Lonchura striata: one gene and its partner. The protein of the gene in region 2 binds, or shares a complex with, the protein of the main gene of each other region. Links are inferred from orthologs where the notes say so. Each region holds a gene or a part of one and is shown on either strand. Other genes may lie near its edges.

Region 1 (15,176 bases), on a different chromosome or scaffold from region 2:
CACTGCTGAGCCCTTGGGGCCTCTGCCATAAGGAAACAGCATGAATCAGGTTGGAGGTCTCTAGTCCAATCTCCAGCTTCAAGTAAGGTCCATTATGATGTCAGGCCAGGTTAATCAGGCTATCCAGTCTGGTCTTAATATACAAGGACAGAGGCTGAGCAGCCTCCCAGGGAAGTCTCTTCTCTACTGCTTGACTGTACTTATGGTGAAAAAACCTACCACCACCACAAAAATCCAACCTTCCTCCTATTTCCAGTCTGAACATCTCATTCCACCTCTCACCTTTTGTCTTTGTCCTTTCAACATACACCACTCTGATGGGCCTGGGTCTGTCTCTCTAATAACCTCCTCACAGACCCTGATAAGCTCCACTTGTGCCTCTCTGAAGACTTCTTTCCTCCAGGCTGAACGCACACAGTGTCCCCCACAGGATATGCAACCCAGACCATGAAATATCTTGGCGATTCAGGTTAATCTTTAAATTTTAGACGGAACCATGGCATGGAAACAGCTTTTAAGACCTCACCAGATCTGCTGTAGCCGCATTAAGATGAGAATTTATTTTTAAAGCTAAGAATAACAATGTTTCAAACTTTTTCTTTTTAAATTTACTCCAAATTACGTTTAGAAATTGAATAGTGCCTGATTACATGGAAAACTACATGAGGCAGGGGAAAAAAAAACCTACAGTGCAACTTCTTGGCAAGCAGGTCCTTGCTTCAATTTCAAGAAGGACTCTTCAACACCAGAAGCATACAAGTTGGGAATAGCTACTCCAACTGTAACTCTTTGTAATAGATCACTTGAGAGAAAAAGTGAGTGTTAAAAAGAACAGCAATTAGGTTGTTAATTGACTTTAAATACTCAGAGTGATAATTTATCACTTGCAAAACACTTACCTAAGAGTCAAGAAAGTAAAAGTTCAAAGTTAGGTTTAATTATGCTTATTGGAACACTGCAGGCAACAAAAAAATGTCCTTGGGGATTTTTTCACCATTTACATTATGAAGAGCAGAATAATCATGCTAAATTTAACATATGAAGAGATACAGATCATATGCAGTACTATAAAATTCAAAAGATGTTGATAACAACACAGCATTATTTTTCAATAGCTAACAATAGACTCAAAGCAAAGAGCAAGCTGCCACTAAGAGCTTATCCGCAGAAAGAACTCCACAAGCAAAATCCAGCCATACCTCATGTCAGAAACAAGAAACACAACTGGATAATTTATGGCCTATCTTCTCATGATGACTAGAACTGACATGGTGAAAAGAGATACTTCTGCAAATGTTACAAGTCAGAAAAGAAAAAAGTAGCTTATTTTCATACCAGAGGGAAAAGCCATGAGGCAGGACAACTATTTGGTAATGTAGATAAAATATATATAAATAATTCAAAAAAGTGTTCACAAGAAGTATTGAGGCATTAAGATAGCTCTGCCTTGTCAATTAAATAGCTCTTTATGATGCCAGGGTGTGAATTATTTGGACATGTCACTCAGCCTAACTTTGCAACCACTAATCCATCTGAAGTCACCATAGGGGAAAAAAAAAAAATCTTGTTTCTAGAGTCTGCAGCAGTCAGTGGTGAATGACACATTTTCTCTCAAAGTGACAGCAGACCTTCCTCTGTCCAAAAGCTACCATGAGACAAGTAGAATGAACAACCAGGGCAACCCCCAACCCCTTGCCCCGCCACCAAAATGGCACGGAAGCAATCAGCATCCTACAAGTCTGGTAAAGAAATTATACTGATTAGTCTGAAAGGAACTACTTCAGTTTGCTCACCTTCTGTGTATTTCATAAAATATGTTGAGTTGGAAGGGACCCATTAGGAACACTCCTGGCCCTGCACAGGTGTCCTGGGGTGACTGAACCCCAGGAAAAACAGTGAGGCTCCAGAACAGCTGCAGTACATCAATGACATAATTGTATGGGGGAACACAGCATCAGAAGTGTTTGAGAAAGGAGAGAAAATCACCCAGATTCTCCTGAAAGCTGGTTTTGCCATCAAGAAAAGCAAAGTCAAGGGGTCTGCTCAAGAGATTCAATTCCTGGAGGTAAAATGACAAGATTGACAGTATCAGATTCCCACTGAGGTCATCAACAAGACCACCATGATGTCTCCACTAACCAGCAAGAAGGAAACACAAGCTTTCTTAGGTGCCATAAGCTTTTGGAGAATGCATATTCTTGAGTACAGTAAGATTGTGACCCTCTCTACCTAGTCAACCACAAGAACAGTTTCCACTGGGGTCCTAAGCAGCAACAAGACTTTGCCCAGATCAAGCAGGAAATGGCTCATGCAGTAGCCCTTGGCCCAGTCAGAACAGGACAGGACCTGATGTGAAGAACATGCTCTACTCTGCAGCTGGGAACCATGGTCTGTCCTGGAGCCTTTGGCAGGAGGTGCCTGGGGAGACTCAAAGCACAACTCTCCCTGGCACCCTGACTACCGGTGCTGGGGTGGATGCTCATAGCAAAGGTTCCCTCTACCCACCATGCCACATGGAGCAAGTGAATTGCTCTCATCACACAGCATACCCATATAGGTAAACTGAATCACCCTGCATACAGTAGACAGAGCCAAAGTCCCAGCGGTGCATGTCAGAGGTTTGTCAGGGAAGACAGTTTGGATCAATGCTGCCTTGAGTACAGACAAACCCATTTGTGGGGTTGTCTTTGCTTAGGGACCAGGTTGTACACAGTGGATAATGCAGAAAGATGAAACAACATGATGTGTACCTCAGGGAGATCTGATTGTGGGGTGAGAACTACGTGTAAGTATCACTGTCTGATGAATGTCATTGCCATTGTCTGTATATAGCTGTATACTGTGTATGTGTATATAAATACACACAAGTGCTGAGTTAGAATATATACTAATTTTGGTAGTAAGCTGACTATATGGGGATAAGGGGTGAAGTGTCCTGAAATGACTTTATGATGCTTGTATCCCCATTAGTCTGTTTAGCCTAGAAATAAGTTCTGCACCATTAAGACCAGTTCCAAGAGCAAAGAGGGAGAGAGCAGAACCCTGGAGTTTATTATCAGAAATTGCACTTGCTCCCCCGCATCCTTCTCCTGGACTGTGCTGTCTGCAGTACAGACAGATAGCGGGACAGAGCTTTCCCTTGCTTTTAGTTAGTTTTTAGCTCACTGAGCCAGACAAGTTCCCTGGACTGTGGATTTTCTTTTTCTTGGAACTGTTCAAACCTGCTCTTGACTGAACACCCAAAAGAGCACTGGCAGCTTGCATCTGTGGCCCATTGGGCTGGGCCGTGGCATTTCCAGCACTGGAGGGTCTGATGAGAGACTGAGTGAGCTGAGCTACACCACACAAAGGAGACTTTCTGAGTTTATAATTTCTTCAGAGTGGCAAGGTTTTATTGTTTAATATTGTTCAATTTTTGTGCTGGCAAATGCTTTGCCAGCAGGGGTTTTTCCCACTTTTCTTCAAGGGAACTTTTTAATGAACCAGTTGGGGGAGGACAGCTTGAATCTGCTTTCTAGAGGAACACCCCTTCAGAGGTTTTCTCCCAAATTTGCCCTACACCAGGAAAACAGGGCATCCCAAAAAGGCCACCATGTGACAGAGCATTGTTCAAACACTTATTGAACTCAGGCTTGGTGCTTCTCAGTCCACTGCCCTGAGAAGCCTTGTGTGCTCAACCTCCCTCTGGGTGGAAAACCTTTTCCTCGTATCCAGGCTAAACCTCCCAACTCAGATCCATGCTGTTTCCTCAAGTTCTCTCATTAGTCATGAGAGTGTACAGACTGGTACCTGCCTCTCATTAGGAGGTTGAAGACTGCAAGACTTACTCTCCTCTTCTCCAGGCTGAACAAACCAAGTGCCCTCAGCAGCTCCTCATACAACTTCCCCTCTAGACCCTTCCCCATCCTTGTGGCCCTTCTTTGGACACTTCTCTATTAGCTTAATGTTTTTTTATACTGTGGTGCCCAAAACTGCCCCTAAAACTCAAGATGAAGCTGCCTCAGTGCAGAGCAGAGAGACAAATCCCCTCCCTCACCCAGCTGGCCTGATGCCTCTAAGGACATGGTTGGCCATCCTGGCTCCAGGGCACTGCTGACTCAGATCCAACTTGCCATCAACCAGAACCCCCAGGTCTCTTGCTGCACCACTGCTCTTTAGCCTCTAATTAATTCAAGGCAGGTACATATAGTAAATCTGTTATGATTGTGCTGTATGCTCAGCAATTTCATAAAGCCAAGTAAGTCACAGACACCTCGTGAAAGGAAAATGTGTACACATCCATCAAATTTTAGCCCTGAGAAAAATTTGTACTGCTTTTCAGCCATTGAAAAGATTAATTCATTCCCCACACAAGGGGAGCTTGTTGTCTTAAAAATGCAGCTTCAGCAGTAAGTTACAGACAAGCAAACTACTAGTTGTGTTTTAGCTGCAAGTTAATGAGAAAAGCATTCTGGTTCCCATAAATATATAGGACCAACAGTAAGGTCCTAGTTCTCTTTGGTATTCTAGCTGGATTGTCTTAACACTGACACTTCACGCATGTGGCAGTCAAGTACCAAAGACTTCAAAGAAAGTTTCTAAGAACTTTCAGTAACTACTTTATACATTAATACCAATAACAATTATTCTTACCAGTCTAAATCCCTGTTTTTCAATAATCACCCTCATAACGACAGTCCCCAAAACCTTTATCACAATGTCATTACATCTTTGCAGCAAAGTCGATCAAACTTCACACAGCTAGGGAGAAACTACTCCCTCCTCCTCTTCATTAGCTCCACACTTATCAACTAATCTGCCACCATGACAGGCAATGCCAAGACCAGGATGTGTTCCCAGGAAACTTCACAGTACAAACTTCTTTGGTAAGTGGCACTGCAACTATGTCATCTTTTAGCCCCCTTCTATGTAGTAGAGGGCCCTCTTAAACCAACAGCCTTCTCTTGTCAAGATACAGTTGGTCATTATTCCAATATAAAGAGGTAGGGGAGCAGTTTCACCTATTTATTAGAAACAAAGACAAGTGGATGAAAAAGACTTGAGGAACAACAAGAATAAAAAAAAATGAAGTAATTATTAGAGAGAATGCTTGCAGTTTTGACAAAATGCATCACAAAAAGATCATCCATTTAAAAAGCTCAAAATTGTAAAAGACATTGGCAGAATGGTTACTTGGAGGCAGTACTGACAGCTCAGCAGTGATTTAAGACATCCAACAGTTTAAGAGCATCAAAACCTAGAAGGTAAACATAACTAATATACTGTTGGAAACAGAAACACCAATCAATGAATTTAAAGACGGGTGTCATGGTAAAAGTAACAGGTTAAAAGACCTTTATATTAGTAAGATGAGAGGACACAAGACACACAAATCTCGGCACTTCTCAAGGCCAGGAAAAGGTTTGTTGCAGTAATCAAACAGGTAAAAATCTTGAGCTTCACCTGCATGAACAGACAATAAAAGCTATTGTTTAAACACACCAAACAAAAACAGTCTGCAAGAATGACTGAAACCTCATTCTAGGTACTTATATGGCCTGTGTGTCAAAGAATAATTAGCTTCACACCTCAGAACAAAGTATAATTGAGACAGCACTGTTGTACAGATTAACTGAGATTCAGGAAAGTTAAGAACTTCGCTGAAATCACACTTTTTTGTGAACATGAACATTGAGCTATCAAATGGTACAAACAACAGAAGACCAATATGAAGCAGAAGGTAAAAGAATTAACAGTACCAAAATAGTTACGTCACATATTTAGATTAAAATACCTGGGCACAAGGAAGTAAAGCATTCACCTAAACAACGGAAAAATAAACTCACTGATGTGCTTAAGAACGAGGAGAAAACAGTCACCTGAGAAGATCCTTGCCATGACAGAGTCTGCAAATAAGCCACGTAGAAAGACTATAGAATTTTTCAAGTTTCTGGAGAAAGATGCGAAATCCAGGAAGTGCACATATTTCCACTGTTATACAAAGAATATACATCTCAAAAATGGCACTGAAAGGAACAAAACTAGCAACAGTCAATGATATTAGAAGGAGGGGACAACAGTTTCAAAGCAAGACGATCTTGCTTCATCTGAGGAAAGATTTTATCACATTCTTATTGCAAGAAGAAACAGAACAGCAACAGATGAAGGTGACAACTGTGGAAGAAAGGCGAGTATAAACTAAAGAGGTTTTTACAGGTGAAGTAAGTCTCTGGAGGCAGGAAAGGATTTTAAGGATGGGATCACACTCCCCCTTGCCATCCCAGGCAGTCTACAAGACCCTGCAGGAAAAAAGAAGTAGAGATAGAAGCACACAACAAGTCATCACCAAAAGATGTAATAAGTATTGGTAAACTGTTGAGCTTAATGCTCCCCAGCACAAAGGGGAGTAAAGTGAGGGGCTTGCATGACTTAAGATAGGTATTGCCAAGCTTCTGATTCTAAGAGAACAAAAGAACCCATTAAAAAGTATTATAATAGCAGTATATAAAATAAGTACTTATGTTAAGTTTCTTGCAAATAGTCATTACATATTTGGCTACTACTATTCTTGAGATCACTTATCATGCCTCCTCAGGCACTGACAACTCACCCTGAGTCTGGAAGCCAACAGCCCAAGACATGCTGCATCATAGGATTTGTTAACTTAAGCGTAATTGTATTGTTAACTTATTGTAGGCTTCATCTTCAAAGGCTGCACCAACATTTATTTGCTTCCTATTGTTTAACGTTAATATCAGAACAGTAATTGCCACTGACACAGAGTTCAAAAGAAAGAAACTGTCCTGAAAGAAGGAGCCACACACACATTTTTCATTCACCTGACTCTGGGTATCTCTTTCCCTCTTCCTTTACCTGAGAATGATGAGAGACAACACAGCAAACTGGCTTTTGCCAAAACCCTGAGAGACATTTGTCATTCCCAAAGGCAAAATATGGATACCCACTGCCACTTGAAACACCACTGTACACACCTTGGGGAAGAATACCCAAAACTGCAGTATTGTAGACCAGGTTCTTCTAATGGTCTTCAGAAAAAAATGAAGCCACTTTACTAGACCACCTCTGATATTTTCAGCTTTAAAAACCCACAATGCATCTACTATGACACCCTGCTTTACACAGGCTTTCTATTAATCCTTTAACTAAAGGATTAACAAGAGTGTAAGCAAAGGAAAGATCTACAGTGGTACGAAAACTGTGGACGGTAACTTCAAAAAGCAACTGGACATGGCGGGGCACAAAGCGGTTCAGAGCCGGGGCCAAGACGCAGCGCTCGCTACCGTGCTCCAGGGCCCGTGCCCAGCGCCGGGCCCACGTCCAGGGAGCACGGGCCCCGGGCCACCTGCCCCGGGAGCAGCCGCAGAGTGAGCCCAGAACCACCGACCCGCGGGAAGCACCTAAGGACGTAGGCCCCAGCCTGGCTTCGTCCGCCCGCGCCTCGCGGACAGCGCGGTGACCCGGCCACAGGGCTCCTTTTGTCCGGCCGCCTTCCCCACTGGGACCGGGACGGCTGAGGGGAAGCGGCGCTCCCGGACCGGCCCCTGAACGCGGATCGCCGGGCCGGACCAGCCTAGGCCCACAGCAGCGCAAGGCCACTGTGGGCCAGAGTAACGACGCCCGCAACTCCCACCTACCTTCGTTCGCCAGGTCCGCCATTTTACTTCCTCAGCCGCACCCACAATGCACCGCGCAGCAGAACGACACCGCTCACCGCAGGCCCCGCGCGCCGCGCACGCCCCGATTTACGGCCGCTCCGGGACGGCGCCGCGCGTGCGCGGAGGGCCGCCCCTGGTTGACTCGCGGGCTCCGCGCGGTGCCCGATGGGTTTCCCATGGGTGCTGCAGCTCCGTGAGGGCTTTCTGGGCAGCGTCCCCGTGGGCCGACTCGTTATGAGGTCTGCGTTGGCCCGATCGCTCCCTGCGGCCCGCGCACCGTGTGTATCGCGGCGGTCGGAACGGGGCTAGCTGCCTGCGGGTCTCCGTCCCGTGCGCGGCCTTGCCGTCCTCCCGTGGCTGCGGAGCCCAGGCGGGCAGACCATGAGCTGCTCCTGGTGCCTCGTCCTGCGCTCAAGAGCAGCTGGCACATGGGGTATAAACTGAGCAATTAATGGTTCTCGTCTTACCTCTATGGATTGTTTCAAGGTTCATTTAACAGCAGCATGCACGATGCCCTTCATTTGACTACATCCCTCATAAGCTATCACACTAGCTGAAGGTAGAATCCAAGGGCCAGGCTCTTGATTCCTTTTGTAAGTCCCATCCATTGAAACCATCTGGTTTGCCTGCTAGGATAATCATCATCAGGAATATAACCGCAAAACTGACAAAACGTGTTAGGAGTAAATAAATTGTATTAATTAAAAAAAAAAAAAAAAAAACCAACAACAAAAAAAAAAAAAAAAAAAAAAAAAAAAAAAAAAAAAAAACAGAATCATCACTAAATGGTTTGGGTTCCAAAGAACCTTAAAGCCCACCTCATTCCCCCCATTTCCATAGAAAGGGACACCTTTCTCTAGACTAGGTAGCTCAATGCCATATCCAGCCTGGCCTTGAACACCCAGGGATGGGTCAACCCTGGCTTTCACCAGTCTACTAGCCAGGAATTTCTTGGCAAGATCCCACCTAACCCTGTGCTCTTGCAGTGGGAAGCCATTCCCCCTTGTCCTGTCATTCTAGACTCCTGTCCAAAGTCTCTCCAGCTCTCCTGGAGCCCCTTTAGGTACTGGAACAGGCCATAAGGTCTCTTCAGAGCTTTCTCTTTTCCAGGTGAGCATCCCCAGCTCTCCCAGCGTGGCTCCAGAGCAGAGGGGCTCCAGCCCTCAGAGCATCTCTGTGGTCTCTTCTGGATTGGCTCCAGCAGCTCCACATCCCTCTGATATCATTCCCTAGGGCTGGAAGCAGCTCTTCAGGTGGGGTCTCATCTGAGTGGCGCAGAGGGCAGAAGCCCCCTCCCCTGCTGCCCATGCTGGACAATGAGCCTGGCAGAGGGTTTTTTTGTGTGCCAGTGCCTTTGGCTGGGGCATGTTGAGCTTCTTATCCACCTGCCCCTACAAGTCCTTTTTCCCATGCCTTTTCTCAATCCTTTCTCCCCTCAGCCTGTGTTTGTTCTTGGGATTGCCCTAACAAACTTGCAGGAGTTGCAGTTGGCAACACTCCATGTTCTTTTGCATGGTATCCTTTCCCTCCAGCACATTGAATACACCACACAGGATACCTATTTTTAAATACAAAATACCTATCTGTAAGTAAATGTCCATCTTCAGCATATGACGGAATACTTCCATAGATCAGACAATACTCTTTGGAATTTTATGATTGCTTGCTGTGCAAGCTGCATTATCAGTTGAATTTGCAAGACAGTGGGCACAGGAAATCCAGGTGTTTTCTAAACCATGTTAGGGAAAAATTCTTACCACACTTGCTAGATAGCCATCTAGTTCAACTGGACACCCAGCTGTACCTGGTACTCATGACCAAGAGAGGAATGTTTGGGGACATGTTAATCCCTGGTCATGTTGGTTGTAACAGTCATGAAATTGTGGTATTCACCGTTCTGAGAGGCATGACAAAGATAAATGGCAGACTGCAGCCCCTTCAAGAGAATGACTTTGGGTTATTCAAGTGGAGATTCTGTGAGAGTTAGCTCTGAAGAACAAAGGAGTTCAAAAGAGCTGGCAGTGTGATAAGGACTTCCTCCAAGCCAAAGAACAGTTTGTCCCAGCAATCAGAGGCATAAGTGTTGGGAGACTAATTTGGTAAATATAGAACCTGTCAATTAACACAAAAAAACTATACATGGGATGGAAGCAAGGACAGACTACTGAAGTGGAATATAGGAATACTTCTTTAGCATGTAGAGATGGTATTAGGAAGTCCAAAGGTCAACTAGAGTTGACACTGCCAAGGGACTTCAAAAGCTTTCCTGGTCTTACTTTCCACCAAGTTAGTTTCACCAAGCTCAGGTCTCTGAGCTTTGAGACAGGATTCAGAGACAAGATCAAGTCAAAAATCTCTGGAGAATTCTCAGCCCACCTGTACTAGATTGCAAGATAATGTGTGTATTCTATTCCCATCTGTTAGATGTGTGGCAGTTATCTTCTGTTAGTTGGACAGTTTCCTATATTTCTTCCACAAACCAATCTCCTGGGAGACATCTGCTGTTAATGGGTTATTGAGTGTCACTGCATGACTGATAAAAATGATATTATCCCACTGGGAGATCCTCTGCCCAGGGGGAGGAGCCAAGCATTCCTACCTGGATATAATCTCTGATAATATATAATCTGGGACATCAGGGCAGCCTTTTTGACTGGATTCTCAGAGAAAGGCCAGGCCCATCTACACCACCACTGTATCTTCAGAGGAAGACTACAGCCTTCTACAGGATCACTGCTTCAACAGAACCACATCTGTCACTCCAGGAGGACTGCAGCCACCATTTCAACTGAACTGCTGCCAACACCCTGACCCACAAAGTGTCTGGTTGTATTTTCACTCTGCCAGTGTTGCTTTGTATAACTGCATTATTTTATTTTTATTTTCTTTCCCTAATAAAGAACTGTTATTCCTGCTCCCATATCTTTGCCTGAGAGCACCCTTAATTTGAAAATTATAACAATTTGGAGGTAGGGGGTTTACATTTTCCATTTCAGGGGAGGCTCCTGACTTCCTTAGCAGACACCTGTCTTTTCATACCAAGACACCACCCAAGTCCATGGGATCCAGTGGGCTGTGTGGGAGGGGGCTGAAAGCTGGCTGATGTTACTGAACAGACACATTCCATCAGCTTTAAAAGTTCCTGGAGATCAGTTACTACCAGGTCTGCATTCCAGGCAGTACTTTAAGCAGTAGGAGGCTCTGTTTAACCTCTCACTCTCCAGCTACCAAGGCAGAAAATATCATTAAGAATCTTGCTTTTCACCTGAGATGGGTCCTATCATGCTTACCTGGCTTAAATAAACTTACCACTAGTCAATAAGCTACATGGTCCTGAACAAGTAATCCCTGTTTTCCCTGAGGGTAGAGCTCCAGCCATGGAATCCACAGATATCTGGGACTGCAACATTTTTAATTTGATCCCAGATGAATTAAAGCTGATTTTAGCATATCATCTGATCATGACCTGAGACTTTGAATAGCTTTGCAAGATTTTTTTTATTTTGTGCGTGTCCATTGGGAGCTTACAGGGCTGGACATTAGTGCTGACAGCTGCATGATGTCCACATGGCAGCCTGAGTCTGTGTGTGGTTCTAGACCCTGTCTGTGCCTTTTCCCTGGAGAACATTTGGTGCAGACAATTTGCAGAGAATTTAGCCAAAAGAATTGGCATGTCTCTATTCACACAAGAACTGTAATTTTCAGGGATATACAGCATGGCTGACCTAGCTCCAGTCTTTATGGAATTTCGTTCCTTTCCCAAAGCAGACATGTCCTACAAACTGAGCCAAACACTAGTCTTGAAAAGTGAGAGTCAGAGTAATTACTTATTATGTGTCTAAAAAACAACAATTATTTAAGTACTTATTCTGATACAGATATCCATTACAGAAAATTTCATTTTAGAACATTAAAACCTATTAAACCAATAAGAAACTGTGAACATGCTTTTATAATGAAAATGCTTTTATAATGACAACTTTAATTATAGGAATTACTGTCCTATGCTTCTCTAATGAATGTGTGATACCAGCATAGTGAGTGATGTGACCTATTTAAGGGGAGTGTTTTAGAAATAATGTACCTCAGAAAGTTGCATACACTGAAGAACCAGCAGCTCACAGTGTGTTCTCTATTCATGTTCTAATTAGAGCCCATATTTCTCAGAATCATTAACGTAAGAGAGGAAAATTAACAGTTTTATCCTAACAGTGTTGGGAGGTTTCTGATTATGATTTAATTTACCTTCAAGTAGATCTGTAGTAATACCAGGATAAATGTGATTCTAGCAATTTATTACTTCAGTAAAAAGTAAACTCCATCCACACCAATTTCACAGTTCTTGTGACTTTTAGAAATTAATTACAAGAGTTATCTGTACCCTATGAGCTTGTCAACTTGCTGATATAACTAGAATCTATTTTGGGTGCATGCCATTAAGATACTATAAATGCCATACTTTCTGATTAGTACTATTGTTAGGTCAGTATTTCTAAGGGGACATGGCCTAAAAGTCACTATGACTTTGAGAAATTAAATATTATTCCATAGCTGAGCTCTCAAAAAAAAAAAAAAAAACTACCAAAAAAGCCAACAACAAACAAAAAACCACAAAAACCAACCAAACAAAAGAAAAACAAACAAACAAACAAAAACACAAAGGCAAAAAGCTACTTCACAAAGAAAACCCCAGCCCAAATCAACCCACCCTGTTTAAAGACTTTCTACTTCTGAGAGCATAATTTGGATGGACTCAGACCCTGAAGCATTCACAGTTGTTCCATAGCATGACAGTGGCATTTTGATCCATTGTCATAAGCATTCATCAGCAAAAGAAGAAACAGATGCTCTAGAGTGAAGACAGCACCACAGGTAATCACTGTCTCATTTCTAGCTGTATCACTCTATCAGTGTCCTGGACAAGAAGGCAGTTTCTAGATGCTCATACCATGTAGGTCAGTTAATATACCATCTTGTCTGCTTCTGGTAGCAGACCTGGATCAAGCAGAAAGTTGTACCTGAGGCCTCCAAAGGTCCATTCTACCCACATCTCTATGATTTTCAGCAGAACAGTTATTCTTATTAATTGGGAAAATATATCCAGGACTCTGTATAACTTAGGTTCTGCTTGAGTTGATTCACTTGAAACCTATTTTTTAACTTGTTTCTGAACTGATGTAGTTAATTCTCAGATAACTCATTCTTTACAGCTGTCAAGGACAAGCAACCTTAAGAGGAATAGGGCTTCCTTTTTCAACAGCAGCATGGATTTATGTCACACTCAACTAACCAATGTCACATGATTTCCCAGATGCTAGACCATTTCTGTGGGTATTACAGATCCACTTCAGAATATTTTGTTAAGGTTCTGCTCTCTCTTGTGGCAGGTCACACCTCCTGTGACATCATGACCGTGAGCCAGAAACTGCTATATTAATGCTACTGGGTGACTTAGCAGTGGCAAAGCCAAGTATCTTCAAGCACTTGTTTGCTGGAAATTCCAACAATAAAGAAAATACATCTGTTAACCTGCTTTCAGGCAACATGCAATGTGAAGCCAGTGGTTCATCCCTGGAAACTAATAGTTGCATGTAACCCTAACGCAAAATTAATCGGGGTGGGACTGGCCACACACCCCACATATGAGGGTCTTTAACAACATGACAGTGATGTTGGTTACCACAATTAATGTTTTCAGAGGTTTTAACTCAGCAGGGGATTTCTCATGAAGCATTTGTTTCCTCCTTTGTGAGGACTGAATTGTAAATTTTCCCTGAGGGAAGAGAGCCATCAGTCTTTCTCCAGTTGTAAGGAAAGGGGAAGGCTTTTTCTTTTAAACCCTTTGTATGTAACCAAGAGCCCCGTTGAGTGAAACTTCAACATTCCAGCGATGTCCCGCTAGCACACAGCTCTGCTCATCCAGGCATCGCTTAGAGGCTGCTCAAAAAAGCAGCCTGATGTCCTTAGGCCATGGCGTAGCCCTCCTCCCTGGCTGTGGTGGGATCTCCAGCACCCACTAGATGGTGACCTGGGATAACAAGAAGGAAGCTTATGAGGGGCCCTGAGAGCAAAGGATTGTTCGGCATGAGAGACTGAAGGAATTTGTCAAAACACAAGACCTAGGAGCAAAGGGCTAAAAACACTACAAGAGGGTCATTAAAGCTACCTTCCTGATGTTTTTTTCTCAGAGGAAGCAAGCTGGGTTTTTACAAGATGTGGCTCACTTCTAGTAAAGCGCATCTGTGCAAGGGCAACTAAGTCCACTCACAAATACAAAGAAGTGCCTTAGAAGAATTCATAGTCCAGCGTTCACTTCTCTAATTAACTTGCAATGTCAGTGCTGTTCCTGAGTTGTGACTTTCCAGACACACTGGCCCAGAACTCTAGAGCCTGAAAGCATGAGCAAGGCTGTCACTAATTAGTGCTATTGAGGGCCTGAACTAAAAAGCTGAGAAATCTTACTTCCCACCCTGCATTACTGGGAGACCCTGGCAATTCAAGCCTGTTGGCACAACCTTAGAGCTAAAATGCAAACAGCATCTTCCTCTGCAGACATCACAGTGTGCAAGAAAAAGGGAACCTGCACTCCCATTCCCTGGCAGGACTTAGGAACATCTTTTTTTGGTAGGACTTTGTTTTATTCAAGTGATTTCCTAAGCTGGTGGAACAGTACTAGTATATGGACTGAGGTGGTATATTCACTGAGGTGATGAATTTTCATCCTTGGAGTGTTTCAAATTTAACTGGATCAAGTTTGACTGAATAACCTGATCTAACTTTGCAGACAGCTTTGTTTCAAGCAGGAACTTAAAGTACAAAGTATCTTACTCTACCTATACCTTTCTATAATTTTGTGATATATTTGATTTCTTGCACTCTTAAAAGATTCTCTAAAAGGGCTGTGCAGGTAGAAGGAGAAGAGGAGATGGACAGTTATAACTGCAAGTCTTGGTCTATCTAAATAGGATCAAGGTGCAAAAACACGTGAGACCACATTTGTAGTGTCTGATCTTAGTGCATGCACATGGCCCCAGCCTCCAGAGACTGGCAGCTTAATATTTACTGGAACATTCTTCCTTCTGAATATAACCACTAGATGGGGAAACAAGCACTTGATTTTTCACCATTTCTTGCTGAAAAATTATATGTCCGTGGTTTTAGCTATGCTTATACAATTAACTGGGTTGTCACCTCTCTGTTTAGCATCTCTGACTGGGTACCTGCTTTAGTACCTTGTGTTGTAGCACCCAACCTCAGGATTTTGGCCTATCGACATTTAAAGAAGGCTCTGCACAAGACCACAAAAGAAAGACCCTAAATCTAGAGGTGTATAGTCATAGAATCACAGACAGGTTAGAGTTAGTTTGGACCTTTAAAGCCCATCTTGTTCCATCCCATGCCACAGACAGAGAGAGTTTCCATTAGATCAGGTTTCTCCAAGCCCTGTCCCACCTGGACTTGAACGCTTCCAGAGAGGGGGAAGCCACAGATTCTCTAGGCAACCTGTGCCAGGGCCTCATC
Region 2 (15,192 bases):
TCAATTGTAAATATACATAAATGGGTTTATTGCTGCGTGTGCTACTGCAGTGAAAACAGAGAAATAAATCAGTCTGGAGTGATTTCATTTGAACACTTTGAACTCCACAGCGAACCGAGAACAGCAAAATTCCAAACAATTCCATTCTTATTGTGCCAAGCCCAGGGAAAGCTGGAGGAGAGCTGAAGATAAGCATCAAACCTCACTTCCAAAGCATCATTATCTTCTCAAAAAGAAGGTGCAGCTCATCAGATCGGATTTCAGTCGAGCACTGCAGCTCCCCAAAGCAAAAGGTTAAGGACAGGAAGAAGTGGCAAAGCAGGGATGGTTCCCTGCTGCTTTGGGAGCAGAACTTTGCAGGGGCTGAGGGGAAAATCCAACCTCCCCCAGGGACAGCTTCCTGCCCTGGGAAATGCAAAGTGCCAGGAGCAGCTCAGCAACCTGGGAGAGCCAGAGGAGAGGAGCTCAGGCATTTTTTTTTGTTGTTGTTGTAATTTGTTTTGTCCCACTCAATTGTCTCTGTGTCAGCAGCAGCAGCTTTGCTGTGAGCAGCAGTGCCTCCCCTGGGGTCTGGGAAGAGCCACCCCTGTCCCAGAGCAGTTTTTGGGTGGGAATGCTGATTTTATATTATATTTTTTGCTGGTAATACCCCCAGCCTGGGATTCCCCAGCAATGCCCAGCCCCCAGGACAGTGGATGCAGCTCAGAAGAGCAGAGGCAAGGCAGGAATAACTCCAGGGATGTTTCCCTGAGCTCCAGAAGCTGATCCCCAGCTGGATCCCACCCAGCACTTCCAGGCTTTGCAAAGATGCTGCAGCTTTCCACTTGTCTTAGGTGCTCCAGGCTCCTGCTCTCAAATGTTCACTGGAGTTTCTCCAAACTCCACTGATCTGCCATATCCAAAATGAAAATAATGTGAGGAAAGCCTCTGATAATCAGATTGCAGAACTGTACCACGCCCCCGATGATCTCACAGGGCTTTTAACACCTTCCCAAAGCTCAGGCAACAAAATCAGCATTCCCACCCAAAAGCTGCTCTGGGACAGGGGTGGCTCTTCCCAGACCCCGGGGAGACACTGCTGCTCACAGCAAAGCCGCTGCTGACAGAGACAGTTGAGTGGGACCAAAACAAATATTACAACCAAAAAGCCTCAGATGGGTCATTTAGAAAATCCTTTACTTAAAAAATCCTATCTGCAGGTGATCAGACTTTAAAGGATCCTCTGCCAGGACAAGAAGAATGTTCTCCCTCCTGGCATAAGCTGTCAGGAATTCCTGAATTCCTGCCTGCACACCTTGGAATCACAAAAGCCTTCACATGAAAGACAATCCAGCAGTGAAGATACTCTGAAGAACGATTTACCAAACCCTGGCTCCACTAAAATCACTGTGTAAACACAGTCTGTTGACAGAATAGTTACAGGTCAACCTGGCACTGCTCATCCTCTGAGGAGGAGGAAAAGCAGCACAAATGAGAACTGCAGCCAGCTCGGCCATGGCCTTTCCCAGTGCCACCAGCCCAGCCAGAGATGGAACAGTTTGGAGAAAGTAAAATGCCAAACAGAGCCAAGGTGGACTCGTGCAGCTTTTGGAGAACAGCTCCAAGGGCAGAGATGAGGGATGGTGGTCATGGCACGTGGGGAGTTATTGCTTCTGCTCGGGGGAGATCTGAGCTCTGTGAGTCAGCTCCAGCTCACACCACCACAGGAAACCACTCTCACCAGAAAGGGCTTTACAGCAGAGCTCAGAAGGCCCGGGAAGGGCTCCACTTGAAGAACACACACCACTCTGTCAGGAATTCACGTGGCTCTCCCAGTCTCTGGATCCTGTTTGTCATTTGTACATCAAAAATCAAAGGAGCCGGTCTATTTCTGTCGGCCTACGATGGTCATCCCTCCATCCTCCTTTTTTCAATTATATTTAGCTTCAGATTTATCATAAGGGTTATTTCTGACCATTAGTCATAACTGAGTCCCTCAGCTTATCATTAAAATCTCGTGGTAGTGATGCCTGCAGGATCCTGGGACATTCTGGGATGCACCAGCCCTTCCTAAACACTCCTGGCAGGGGGATCCCTTCCCTGAAGGGATCAGGAACTCAGCCTGTGCTCACTCCTGGGTGGGGTGGGGATTTTTTGCTGTTCTAAAACGTTCCACTCCATTTCTGCACCTCCAGCAGGGAGGTCTGACAGCACAGGAGGAACTGTAGAACTCTGGCTGCTGCTCTCGTTCTCCCAGGGAATGGTCTCCAAAGGCTCATTGTTTCTGTTGGGGAACTGCAAAGTCAACAGTTATTGTAAATAAAAAATGAGTTGGTTGTGCCATCCTTCCTTCCTTCCCAGGAAGTTGCTACCAGCACCAGTGTGGTCTGGGATTCCAAATAAAAACAAAACACACCCCACAGGGAACAGACAGCTGAAACCAGACTATTTTTCCTCAGCTATATCCAGTGATTCAGGCCCTCCTCCATCCATTATCCCCCTCCTATAAAAATCCCATCTCAATTCCAAAGTGGAGCAATGAAATCTGCTCTCAATATCACTGATAAAAACGCTTTGGGATCATAAAGCCAACCCAAGACACCCCCAGAAGTCACATCTCAGCAACTTCAGAATGAAAATGGCAGTCTGATAAAAAATAAAAATCAATATGACATTACATGTGCCACCAGGCCCATTTTTCCTGGAGAAGCTGTGCATGGCAGAGAAAATGCCTTAAACAAATATCTCAGTATCATTGGAAAGTGACAAGATGGATGAGCTTCACCACAGAACTCCAAGTCAGCTTAAAGGAACCTATTTTTATCTCACTGAGTGAAATTCCTGCTCTCCTTCAGTTCTTCCATATTTAATCCCAAGCAGACTATTTTGTGTGGGATACAGAAAGGGCTGAAAAGCTTCAAAGTACCTGCAATATTCAATATATCCCACACCACCACCTTTCCTGCACTCCCCTGGAGCTTCCCTGGTGCTCCCAAATACATTGGTATTTTGGAAGTCCACTGAATGATGCTGGCAACTCTTAAAATCCTGACATGACTGATCTTCAAGCATCTTGATGCAATGGCTGCTCCAAAATTAGTTTTGAAGTGCTCTGCATCACGGAATTCTCATCGTTTCCCTTCATGCATCTCTCAGTTGAGGAGCAGAAATCTCAATTTAACACCTCTCCTGTGCTGGCACTGTTCAAGCAATCCTTAATCTCCTGCCCAGCAACACAGGTGAGGCAGGGGAGAAAAGATTCAGCAGATTCATCCAGGATTTCCAGAGAAATAAAATGCAGAAAATATTTTTTATTTAATTAAAAAAAAAAAACCCTCTTAAATGTCAGATTGCAATGCTGCAGCAGGCAACAATCACCAAGAGAAAATGAAATGTTGAATCACCAGGTGAAAGAAAATGAAGCAAATAAAACATCCCAAAACTCTGCAAAACTTCCCAAATCAAGACCCCTAAATGCAGGAGTAAAAAGGCATTACTTAAATTCAATTTGTCCATAAAACTCCAGCACAGCCACAGTGATAAATTTGCACTTATCTGGCCTTTGTATAGTAAAGATCTGGAATTTAACTCCAAGATCTGTGGTATTACCATTAAAAACAAAGGTTGGCTGGGTGTCAGCACAGCTATCCCCACAACAACCAGTAAAAACCAGCTCAACCCTTCTCATCCAAGGAAAAAAAACCCAAGTAAAACCTGTTCCTCACTGAAGACAAGATGAAAAAAGTCACTTTACCCTGCTCCTTAATGGATCAGTATTTGCATAATTTAATATGAGTCCAGATAAGCCCTTCTTCAATTCAGACTCTGGGGTTGGAGGTTAAAACTGTGGCCACACTTCTGCAGTTTTTAAGGTTCCTCTTTGTGCTGAACCAATTTTATTTATCCCCCACAGCTCTAAAATCTTGAGGACCCTAAAAAAATGTTGCAAGCACTGACCAGAAATCTTAAATTCCCCCCAGAGATGCTGCCTCAGCTCCAAATTACTGCTCCCCCACTATTAAAAACTTTATTACGTGTATTCCTTTGAGCAGGAGCAGAAACCAGGGAGAGGACAAGGAATTCTTGGGGATTTCTGGTCCCAGTGAATCCCTGAATTCCCAGTGTCACCACCAATCTGTCATCCCCAAACACATGGCAGCAATTATTTACAACATGCCCGTGCAGGAAATGTTTACCCAAGACTTCAGCATTGAAGGAATTTTGTCAAACACCTTATGTAAAACAGGTGCTTCTGCTGGGCTTTGCTTTTTTTTTTTTTTTTTCCTCTTTTTTCCAGGCCAGAATTTGTATTTTTAGGAGCATATTGGGGAAAAGAAAACAAATAACTGGAGTAGCCAAAAAGGTGAAAAATGTTTGGTACTTTAAGGGATAAAATGTAGGAAATTCCCTGGTTTTGGTCAGAAATAGAAGAACTTCCAGTGAATATGTAAAACCTGGAAGGCAAGGGCAGTGTGACAGGAACTGTAACTGTCAATGGACTGATCTGAGCACATGGAATTAAGAGATAACATTTTTAGGAAGTTTGCAATTCACAACATGGCAACCTTTCATAACCTCTCCAGTTGGCATTCACCAAAATTCGGGCGATTTCTCATTTCTCTAGGGGTAAACTGTAATGGAAAATTAAAAAAAACCCCGATAGTTTTGTAAAAACAACCCAGGGCCAATTTCAGCGCAGATAAAAAAGGGGGAGGAGTGAAGGAGATAAAGATCAAATGTTGGTTTCCTCTGCCAAATAAATACACAAATTTCTGCCCAAACAGCCCTGCAAGCCGGATTTTGGAGGTTGGGTGGGAGTGGGCAGCAGCAATTCCCTCAGCCTGATGCCCAGTGTGATGTGTAAGCAGTTGATGAGCAGCAGGGACAGCCAGAAGCCTGAGCTATTGTATGAAAAATAGCCCTGCACCGTGGTTATTTTAGGGAGCAGGCATGTGCTCCAGGATTTGCTGGATAAATGTCACTCTCTAAAATTTAACACGACCCAGCAGTGGGTTTGGGCTGTGGAAAAAGGCGTTTCAGTGCTGCAGCAAATTAAAAAAAAAAAAAAAAAAAAAAGATTGAAGAGCTTGCCTGCCTTCTGACACACTCCCACGTGGTGTTACCTGCGTGTCCATCTTGAACCTTCCCTACTTCAGCCCTTTCCCGTTGAAATTCTGCACCAAGGCACCTGAATTCCAGCCTGTGTCTACTCATGAATCCCATTTTTCACTGTAATGGAACATTCTGTGTGCATTCCTAAAGATGCCTTCCTGTAGCTGCCTATTCAGTGGTAACAAAATTGATATAAAAATAAATTAGTATCTAAGGCGAGGGGTTGCCAACCAACCTCACAACACTGTTAGCAAGCAGAGCAATTAATTATCCCCACTCACAATATTTTTGCCAAAAGTTTGGGCATAACTGAGTAATAAAATGTTCTATCAATCTAAGTGGGCAGGTTAAAAATCCAGGTGTTACAGACTCCTGGGAAACTGACGTTTAAATCAATACAGGGAATATAAAGGAGTTTTCACTTTTGAAACATTGTAATGTCTTCATATATAAGAGTAGAATATTATGGAAAACACAAGGGACACTTTGAAACTAGCAAAAGACAGCCACGAGGAATGCCAAGATTCTTGTCCACAACCCTGAACAGACAATTTTAACCTCCAACCAGCACTCCTGGCCGAGTGTTTAAAGGCGAGGATTGATACCTAGCTTTAAAATTTGCTTATTTCCTAAGGAAACCCCAAGTTAATTACTTATCCTGCTGTGTTTAGGAAGCACCTACAGAGCTCGAATAATTGAACCACCAAAAAGTTCAGCGTTCAGGGGCTACAAGGCAGAACGGCTTGAGCAGAAAAGAGAAATACAAAAAAAAAAAAAAAGAGAATTTAAAAAATAAGAGTTTTTTTAAAAAAATAATCTTGCTATGAAAGTTACGGCGTTATTTATTTAATTAGGTATCCTGGAAACACGCAGCAGAGTAGGGCCCTAATACTGACTCAGGCTTTTAGGAGCTGCTGGGAGAAGAATTGTTCCAGCAGCGATTCCGCCGAGCCCACCCCGGAGCGGGGCCGCTGGGGCAGGGCCGGGCCGGGCCCCGAGCCCCGGCGGGCGCAGCCGCCCGGGAGGAGCCGCGGGGCCGGAGCGGGGCCGGAGCCGGGAGCGGGGCCGGAGCCAGCTCGGAGCGGGGCCGGAGCGGGGCCGGAGCGGGGCCGGAGCCGGCTCGGAGCGGGGCCGGAGCGGGGCCGGGAGCGGGGCCGGGAGCGGGGCCGGGAGCGGGGCCGGGAGCGGGGCCGGGAGCGGGGCCGGAGCCGGCTCGGAGCGGGCTCGGAGCGGGCCCGGAGCGGGCTCGGAGCCGGCCCGGAGCCGGCCGGGAGCGGGGCCGGGAGCGGGGCCGGGAGCGGGGCCGGAGCGGGCCCGGAGCCGGCCCGGGCGGGCGCGGCCGCTGCCCCTCGCCGGGAGCCCGCGGGCCCGGCCGCGCCCGGCCCTCAGCGCGGCCTCGGCGGCTCCTTCCTCCCTCCCTCCCTCCCTCCCTCCCTCGCCGCTGCCGCCTCCCCGCGGCTCAGGGCCCCGCCGCGCTCACCTCCAGGTCGCGGCCTTTGTTCTTGAAGTTCTTGAGGCGCTGGTTGTCCAGCTTCTCGCTGTCGGCCATGGCGGGGGGCGGCCAGGGAGGAGCGCGGCCCCTCCGCCTCCGCCCGGGCCCGTAGCGCGCCGGGGGCCCGGCGGGCCCGCAGTCGGCCTCAGCGAGCCGGGAAGGGCCGGGTGGCGGGGCGGGGTGGCGGGGCCGGCGGCGGGGCCGGCGCGGGGCGGGAGCGCGGCCCGGGGCCGGGCGGTTGGAGCGGGCCGGGCCGGGGCCGGTGCCGGCGGCCCGATCGCGCCGGTGCCGCCGAGCGGGGGAAGGGACGGGGCGAGCGGGGGGGGAGAAGGGGGAGCCTCGCTCTGGGCGCCGCCGCCCATTGGCTGCGCCGCGCGCGCCCCGCGGCCAATGGCGGCGGGCGGGGAGAGGGCGGGAGCGGTGACGCAGCGCGGGCAGGGGGAGGAAGGAGGAGCCGCCTCAGCGCCGCCGCCATCTTGGGCGCTGAGGGCTGAGGGCAGGGCTGGGGCGGGACGGGCGCGCCCCGCGCCTGCGCTGCTGCCGGGAGCGGACCAAAATTTATCTTTTAATCCTTTTCCCAACGGCGCTTGCATTTCGCTCCCCTCGTGGAGCCGGCTGTTTAAACATTCCGCTCGCTAGGCTTGGCGTTCACTCCCCTCATGGAGCCGAGAATTGGCGCTCTCCTCGCCACACTTTACATTCACTCCCCTCACAGAGCCCAAAGTTAATAGTTTAATCCTTCCCCTCGCTAAAGTTTGCATTTGCCCCCATCATGGAGTCAAAAATCGAGTTTAATCCTTCCCCTCACTAAAATTTGCGTCTGCCCCCATCATGGAATCAAAAATCGAGTTTAATCCTTCCCCTCGCTAAAATTTGCGTCTGCCCCCATCATGGAGTCAAAATTCGAGTTTAATCCTTCCCCTCGCTAAAATTTGCGTCTGCCCCCATCATGGAGTCAAGAAATCAAGTTTAATCCTTCCCCTCGCTAAAGTTTGCATTTGCCCCCATCATGGAGTCAAAAATCGAGTTTAATCCTTCCCCTCGCTAAAATTTGTGTCTGCCCCCATCATGGAGTCAAAAAATCAAGTTTAATCCTTCCCCTCATTACACTTTGCATTTATTTGCATCATGAAGACAAAAATTACACCTCAATCTTCACTCTCTTTACACTTTCGTTTGCCTAGAGTAATCCCCCTTCCTCCCAGTCTTCCAGAATTTTAGCAAAAAAAAAAAAAAAAAAAAAAAAAAGAAAAAAGAGAAACAGTATTAAAAACAATAGAGAGAAACACTTGCGGAGCAGAGGGGATGGTAATTTTGTTCCTACTTCTGAAATTCTACCTGGAAAATAATGCCTGTGTACCATAACTAGAAGAATTCTGTGGAGTATGTGTGTGTGTATATATATATATATATATATATATAATATATGTATGTATATATATATATATGTACTGCCCTGACCCTGCATATAGTCTCTACTTATTTTTAATGATTGAAAATGAGCCCTGTAAAGTCTTCCATGTTGACAGAGCTCATTATAATTTTCCATGACACTTGTTGAGAAAAATCAAAGTTATGACAGGGGATGTTTTTCCCAAGTGTGAAAATGAAGTCACCGAGTCCCTCGGAGACTGAGGAGTATCAGGAAAGATAATTTGATTTAGCTCCTGAGGAAAACAATGGTTTTTCAGACTATGTGTGTTTTATCCCTGGACATTTCCCAGAGGACGAGGCTTGGATCTAGATATTTCTCCAAAAAAACCCCAAAAGTCACAGAGGCTGAGTCACCGCAGCCCCGTCTGTTGCACAAATGTGGCAGCGATGTCACAGCAATATGAGGAGGGTAAATTAGTCGGGGCTAATTAATGCTGGTGCTATTCCATGGAGGCATGGCTTGTCTCAGAGGATATAAAACATTTTCTCCAAGAGTGGTGTAGGACAGCAACCCTTTCACATCCCAGTCTGGATGGACAAAAATGACATTTTCTTGATACAGCTATTTACTTTTTAAAATGTAATGCGGATTTGCCACGTGGTAATGTTGTAAAAGAATACATAGAGATAAAATTTTAAAAAATAGTATCTTTATTTAGTGCTCTGTTTCATTTACAGAAAGAAGAGAGAGCTCGGATTGTTCAGCCCAGAGACGAGAAGGCTCTAGGGAGAATTTAGAGCCCCTTCCAGAGCTTAAAGAGGATCCAGGAGAGCTGGAGAAGGACTTTGGAGAAGGGATGGGGGACAGGACACAGGGAATGGCTTTGAACTGAGAGGGCATAGGTTTAGATTAGATATTAGGCAGAAATTCTATGATGAATAATGAAACTGGACTCTGGTGTGAACTATGTGTTCCATTCCTGCCCAGTGCTCAGAACTTGTCCGAATATGATGGTAAAAAAATCCCCCCTGTGTAAGACACAGCCTGGAATTTTATGAACAAAACCCTTTTATTCCATCGGTGCCCTTTCCATCACCACCTTTTCCATGTTTTTGTTACCCCAGACGTGCCCATCCCACCCCTGGTGTGGGAAGGATGGAATGGGAAAGGCAGCACATCCTGGCTTAAATTTTCCTTTAAAAAAGCATACAATTTTCCTATTAAATTCTAGTCCTGGAGAATCTTCCTCCAAATCCAGCCCAAAAATCATCTTGCTGTACTTTGCTGCTTTTATTATATATATAGATTAGTAAAAATATGTAAAATATATTACATTTTTAAACTTATATTAGTATTTACTAATATTTATTAGTTAAAATATGTAAAAATATAAAATTTATTTACTAACACCCCATTTCCTTTCTGTGTAACTCCATATAATGATAGCCAAAACAAACTTTGCTCTTGCTAAGTTATGAAGGAAGACAATCCTCTGGTGGTCTTTTGATCTGATATCATCCAAGGAATAATTTATATTGTGATTTCATTGTAGACATCAGAGATTAATCAAGTGCATTTTGTGTAACTGTAATCTAATTAAACTGCTTGGCTTTCAGAGGAATAATTTCTGTTTGATTTTACCTCAGGATCACAGTACAAAAACACTCAGAAGACCAATTTCAAACCCTTGATCCAGTGTCACTGGGCTGTCTTTTAAAAAAACCCCAAACAATTGGATATTTTGATTCTAAATCAGTTTTTTTTACTAAATCAGGTTTTTTTTTTACAGTTTTTTTTTTACTGTAGCTGCCTACAACATAATAAATTATGCATAAAACACAAATTCTCATGGTATGGTGCTGTTCAGAACTTCATGTGATGCTACAGAACAAAGCTCTGCTTCTTTAATATTTTTTGCATATTTTTTAGCTTGGAAAATAATAATGCAAATATCAAGGTGGGAATTAGGATCTGCTCACCTTCCTATCCTTCAAGCAACAGATAGATTTGTTTTACAAAGGGTTCACATTTTCTTTACAATTCACAGTTTGTGAATTTTGAACCTCATTATGCAATTAGAAAATGTTTAATTCTCAGCTTATCTTAAACACCTCTTTTGAGGAATAATGTGAATTGATCTGAATGCTGTTCCTAATATATTAGTAAAAACATATATAAAATAGATAAAATTTATTTATTAACTGTACACTTAGGTGAAAGGAGCTCCTGCAAATGGCTTTTCATAGCCCTATCTCCCTCCTGTAAGAAACAAAATGTCATGTAAAGCTGCAAAGATTTGTGTTGCACACAGAAAAACACCCATTAATCCTGGGGTTTAGCCAAATGGAATAGCTGCTATTAACAAAGAAGCAGCCCGCTGCTGGGAGGATATTTTATAATAATCTTTCAGCTGCTGTGCTGACTTTTGCAAGAGACAGGTTGGAAGGAGGTTTTTGATGGGAGTTGGCTGACGTGCTTTGGATGAGAGGAATAATCAAAGATTTGACCCACAGACACCTGGACAGCTCTGCTGTCTTCCTTCATAACTTAGCAAGAGCAAAGCTTGTTTTGGATATTATTATATGGAGTTACACAGAAAAGAAACGGGGTGTTAGTAAATAAATTTTATATTTTTAACATATTTTTAACTAATGAATATTAGTAAATACTAATATAAGTTTAAAAATGTAATATATTTTACATATTTTTACATATTTTTACTAATCTCTATATATAATAAAAGCAGCAAAGTGCAGCAGTGTTTGCTCCCTTGTGGAGGAACATTTTCATTCAAAAGCTGCAGAGTTCCTGTGCTTGTTTCCCTTGGGTTTGTTCATTTAGAACCGCTGGTTACACTGTGTTCTGCTTTTCTTTCTATTTAGACAAAAAGAAGTATTTGCAATTCAAGAAAAGATTCTTCAGTCAGGGTGGCACTTATAAACTCACTTTTTAAAACCAGCTTCTTACCATGATGGACTGCACAGGCTTGAGAAGGAAAATCAGCTTTAGGTGTTGCCAGTGTGCCAGGGTTCGCTGCTTTTCCATTTCTAACCCTTTCTCTGGGTGGGCCACTGGGATCCTGGAGCTGCTCCGGCCCCTCTCACACCTTAGGGCAGCCAAGGGCTGGCTGTGGCACTGATTTTTTGGGATCTCTCCCTCATTCCCACCAGCCCTGGGCTCTGCTGTGTCCCTCAGAGCTGCCTCGGGGATCTCATCCCACGAGGCCTCTGAACGTCAAACACCCCCAATGAGCATTTCCCCACGAGTTAAAGTTAAAAACATTCCACGGGGGGATTGCCTTTAATTTGCATCATTGCCCTTGCTACAATTCAGCCCTTAAACCTTCAGCTTTTAATGTGCTAAAACAGAGCTTTTGCAGACAAATTTGTAGGTCACGATGTGACCATTGGCAAAAATATTCCTTGGTACCAGAGCTGGAGTAGATCCCAAAAATCCATCAGCTGCAAATAGTTCAAGAAGAAGAGGAGTCAATCCTCAATCAGCAGATTGTGGAGCTGCACTTCCCTGCTGGTGTCCAGCTGCTTTGCCTTTCCAGCACAATTTCCCTACTAAAGGAAATTTTCCTTAAAAAAAAAAAAAAAAACAGTATAATTTTCCTATTAAAGGAAAGGAAAAAAATCGTTTGAGGATGAAAAAAAAAGTGAAGAAGTGGTTAGTGAAATGAGTCATGTCAGTGTGCCCTGGAAGATCCCGGGATGTGTTTTTTCCATGTTAAAACAAATCCTTGTAGCACTGCTGATGGTGGGACAGTGACAAAAAAAAATGCTTCTATCTCTGCTGGTTTGGGGTGAGTTCAAGCATATTTCTAAAAGGAAAGGAAAACTTCTGATCTGCTGGCAGGTCTGGGAGCTCCAGTATTCTGGATCCTGTTCCACTTGACTGCAGGAAGGGAAGCTGCTTTTCCATCTTTAATTCCTCAGGTTTCCAAAAGGAAGGCTGATCACTGGATTTGAAAAATCAATCTGCACAAATGCTCAGATAATTCAGTGTGACGTGTTAGGTGATGTGGTTCATGCTGGACACAGAAACACTGACAGGATCATGAAAACGGAGACTTTTTGGGGAGCAGCTGAGGTTTAAACTCTTATTTCTGGCTTTTAACACTTCTAGGGAGCAAACCCAAGACACAACAAAAATGTAAATGTCCAGATGCAGATTGCTGCTGTCAGTGCTGTGTCTCAGGCTCGGTTTGAAAGGAAACTCGAATCATGGGCTGAATAAGGAATTTTGAAAGACTCGGGCTTGGTATTGAGCAGAGAAATGAAAATAATCCAAGTTTGCATCTCTCTTTGTTCTGCTGTAATGGAGAAAATGAGAGCTCTGAGCAGCAGCACTAACGAGGCCCATTCTCCAAGGCTCAGGACTGAGATTTCCTTGATTTTCTGCTGGCTGATAAATGGTAATATTTCTGTTCAGCTTTTCTTTGGAGGGGGAATAATGGGCACATCATTTTTCCTGAATTACGGAGCATTTCAGCAGCTTCAGGGATCTGTGCCTCTGTCAGATCACCCAGTTCAACCCTTTCTTTTAATGCTCATTATTCCTCTTTATATTCAAATCTCACTTCGGTTATGAACTGGTAACCAGGGCTCTTCCAAATCACCACCGACTTTGGAAAAAATGGGAATTCCCATTTAGGAACGTGCTTGTTTGGGCAGTTTGGACATCACTCATTGTTAGGAATTTTCAGTGCCACAAAGTGAAACTTCATCTTAATGCCTGATGAAAAAAATGTGGGCTTTACCTACAGAGCAGAAATTATATATTTGTATATACATATATACACACATATATATATTTATATATTTTTATATTTTTATATATTTATATTATATATATATGTATTTAATATATTTAATATATTTGTATTTACCAAACTGAAAAGCATCTCTGAAAATAAGCCCATCGGGGCTGCACTGAGGCAGGTTTTGTTTAAAAAAAGCGATTTTTGGCTGCTTGGTTTAAGTCTCAGAGAGTTCTCGCGCTCCGTTTGAATTTGCAACCCGATAGTTTCGTTTTGACGAGCTGCAGGAAGCCTCACACACCACAAGATGTCTCAGCGAGGAAACACATTTTATACAAATATTTTTTAATAATATTACTCAATTTTCTGGTGTTTTTCTCGGTTTTTCCTCAGTGCTTGACGGGGGCTTTTCAGCAGCACACGAGGAAGCCCAGCCTGTAAAAATTCACCCGTTAGCGTGGGCAATAAATGGTATTTTAAATAATCAATGATCCAAATGACTCAGTGGAAAACCTTAAGCGTCAAAAAGAAAGGGCTCAGTGTAGGTGACAGCTAAGAAATTTTAAATTTTAATGTGTAGGTTAAATTGAAGAGTTATTTGAAACTATAATTCATTTCCACAAGGTTTGACTTCAATATGTTAATTATTTTTAACTATTCACACTCAGGATTAAGACTGTTTAGAGTTGCTATGAGAAGACAGTTCTGTGCAGAATATTTTCTCCAAAGTTGCAAAGTTACATAATCTTTATGGCCTGATATTATTTTATCTGTGAAACTGCTGCCTTCAGCTTTGACCGTTCAGGGAGAGCACAGGGAAGTTCCCCCTGTGAGCTCCAGGAGGGATTGCACACATGAAATGTTGATTTTGAAAGAGGAGCAGCCGCAGCTTTTGCATCAGAGTGCAAAATTAATGGCTGGGAAGGAATTTTTATTTTATTTTATTTTATTTTATTTTATTTTATTTTATTTTATTTTTTGCTTTCTATTGCTTTGTGTATTCACAACATTCAGTACTCTGGCCTAAGAATTTTCTCACTTTTCCTTTCGCTTCCCCTTTTTCCTGGTATTGCAGTCGTTTATCTTCCCCCACCATCCCTCCAGATTAACTCCTTAAATTCTTCTTCTGTAATTCTTTTTTTTTTCACCTTTTCAGAGAATTCAAGCTGTTTCAATACTGATGGGCACCTAAGAACTGCGTGACCACCTACAGACATTTTAGGTACATTAAACCTTTATTAATTAATCTTCAACAAAGGAAATTCCACGTGAATTCAATCCGAAATTATTCCCCTTATTGTTAATTCTCAATAAAGGAAAATCCACGAGAATTCAATCCAAAATTATTCCCTTTATTGTTAATTCTCAATAAAGGAAAATCCACGTGAATTCAATCCGAAATTATTCCCTATTGCTGGGAAAGGCATCCAGCCCTGAGCCACCTTGTGAGGAGCCAGACATGAATTTATCATTATTAATGAAGCTGTTTGCAGAACGCTTTTATGTTTTGTGTTACATCCAAATGGCAGAGGGATTTCCACAGCCATCTGGGATGGCCCTGTAAGAAATAAAACTTCTCTGAGTTCCTCAGGGAAAGCTGAGGGACTCACATTCCTCAGTGATAAACGTGTGTGCTTTAGATAAAATACCTGAAAACTATTGATTAAGGCACAGTTACCCTTTAACAGCCAAGCAGAATTTCAGAGGAGATTGGCCTTTGTCTGGATCGATAAAATCCTTGCTGCTGTTCCCAGCTATAATTGCTGAAACCAAACAATATGCATGGCTCAGGTTTCAGAGCCAGGTGGTTTATCAAACTCACAAAATTACTTATTTTTGCAGGTATTTTGCCAGAATCAGGGTAATACAAGGCCTGGAAACTTCTCATTGGCCAGGCAAATAGAAAGGATAAAACAAAGTAAAAACAAGTCAACAAGAGGTTAAAACAAAAGTAAAAACCCAGAACAAAACGATGATCTTTGCACCAATGGAAGCACCTTGTGAGGCAGTTGAATAAATATGAGGAGAACAAGGAAATAATAAAAATATTCATCAAAAGCCGCGGCTCATAAAGCATTGTCAGGAGGTTTGCATGCATGGTGGGAGAGGAGAGCTTTGAGGAAGGACGTGGCAGAAAACAGTGAAACGGGGCTGTAAATGTCTGTAAACGTCTGTAAATGTAAATGTCTGTAAATAAATGTCTGTAGGTCACTCCGAGGAGCGGCTGGGAGCAAAGCCAAAAACCCTGGGGAAATCTGATCAGGAGAGACGGGAGCTGCACTGCCCTTGGCACTCCTGGGAAGGACAGGACAGGGACAAAGCTCTGCTGGGGACAGACAGGGAGGGGACCCCAAGGTGACAGGGCTGAGGGGTGGCGTGGCAGCCCAAGTGCCACAAACTCCTGGGGACTGAGGTGAACAGGGTTTATGCCTTTATTAGTGAAGAGGTGTGCAGTCTGTATGTGACACC

What was found.
Region 1: the proteins of KPNA4 (region 2) and RANBP3 are in contact, whole or in part, in a crystal structure (PDB 5XZX), measured with the Homo sapiens proteins. The link is inferred for Lonchura striata from reciprocal best matches to the Homo sapiens genes KPNA4 and RANBP3. Residues at the interface, in NP_002259.1 of Homo sapiens: Arg96, Leu99, Ser100, Asp102, Arg103, Pro105, Phe133, Trp137, Thr140, Asn141, Ala143, Ser144, Gly145, Thr146, Ser147, Thr150, Glu175, Gln176, Trp179, Gly182, Asn183, Gly186, Asp187, Asn219, Trp222, Val225, Asn226, Arg229, Asp261, Trp264; in NP_015561.1 of Homo sapiens: Asn114, Tyr115, Cys116, Pro117, Pro118, Val119, Lys120, Arg121, Glu122, Arg123, Thr124, Ser125, Leu127.

What each region holds. Positions count from the first base shown.
Region 1 is NC_134630.1:1,315,916-1,331,091, forward strand, and holds the start of RANBP3 (ran-binding protein 3), read right to left. Parts: upstream 7,751-15,176; 5' UTR 7,657-7,750; coding exon 7,635-7,656; intron 1-7,634. UniProt on the Homo sapiens protein: Acts as a cofactor for XPO1/CRM1-mediated nuclear export, perhaps as export complex scaffolding protein. Bound to XPO1/CRM1, stabilizes the XPO1/CRM1-cargo interaction. In the absence of Ran-bound GTP prevents binding of XPO1/CRM1 to the nuclear pore complex.
Region 2 is NC_134612.1:25,417,536-25,432,727, reverse strand, and holds the start of KPNA4 (importin subunit alpha-3), read right to left. Parts: upstream 6,729-15,192; 5' UTR 6,641-6,728; coding exon 6,572-6,640; intron 1-6,571. UniProt on the Homo sapiens protein: Functions in nuclear protein import as an adapter protein for nuclear receptor KPNB1. Binds specifically and directly to substrates containing either a simple or bipartite NLS motif.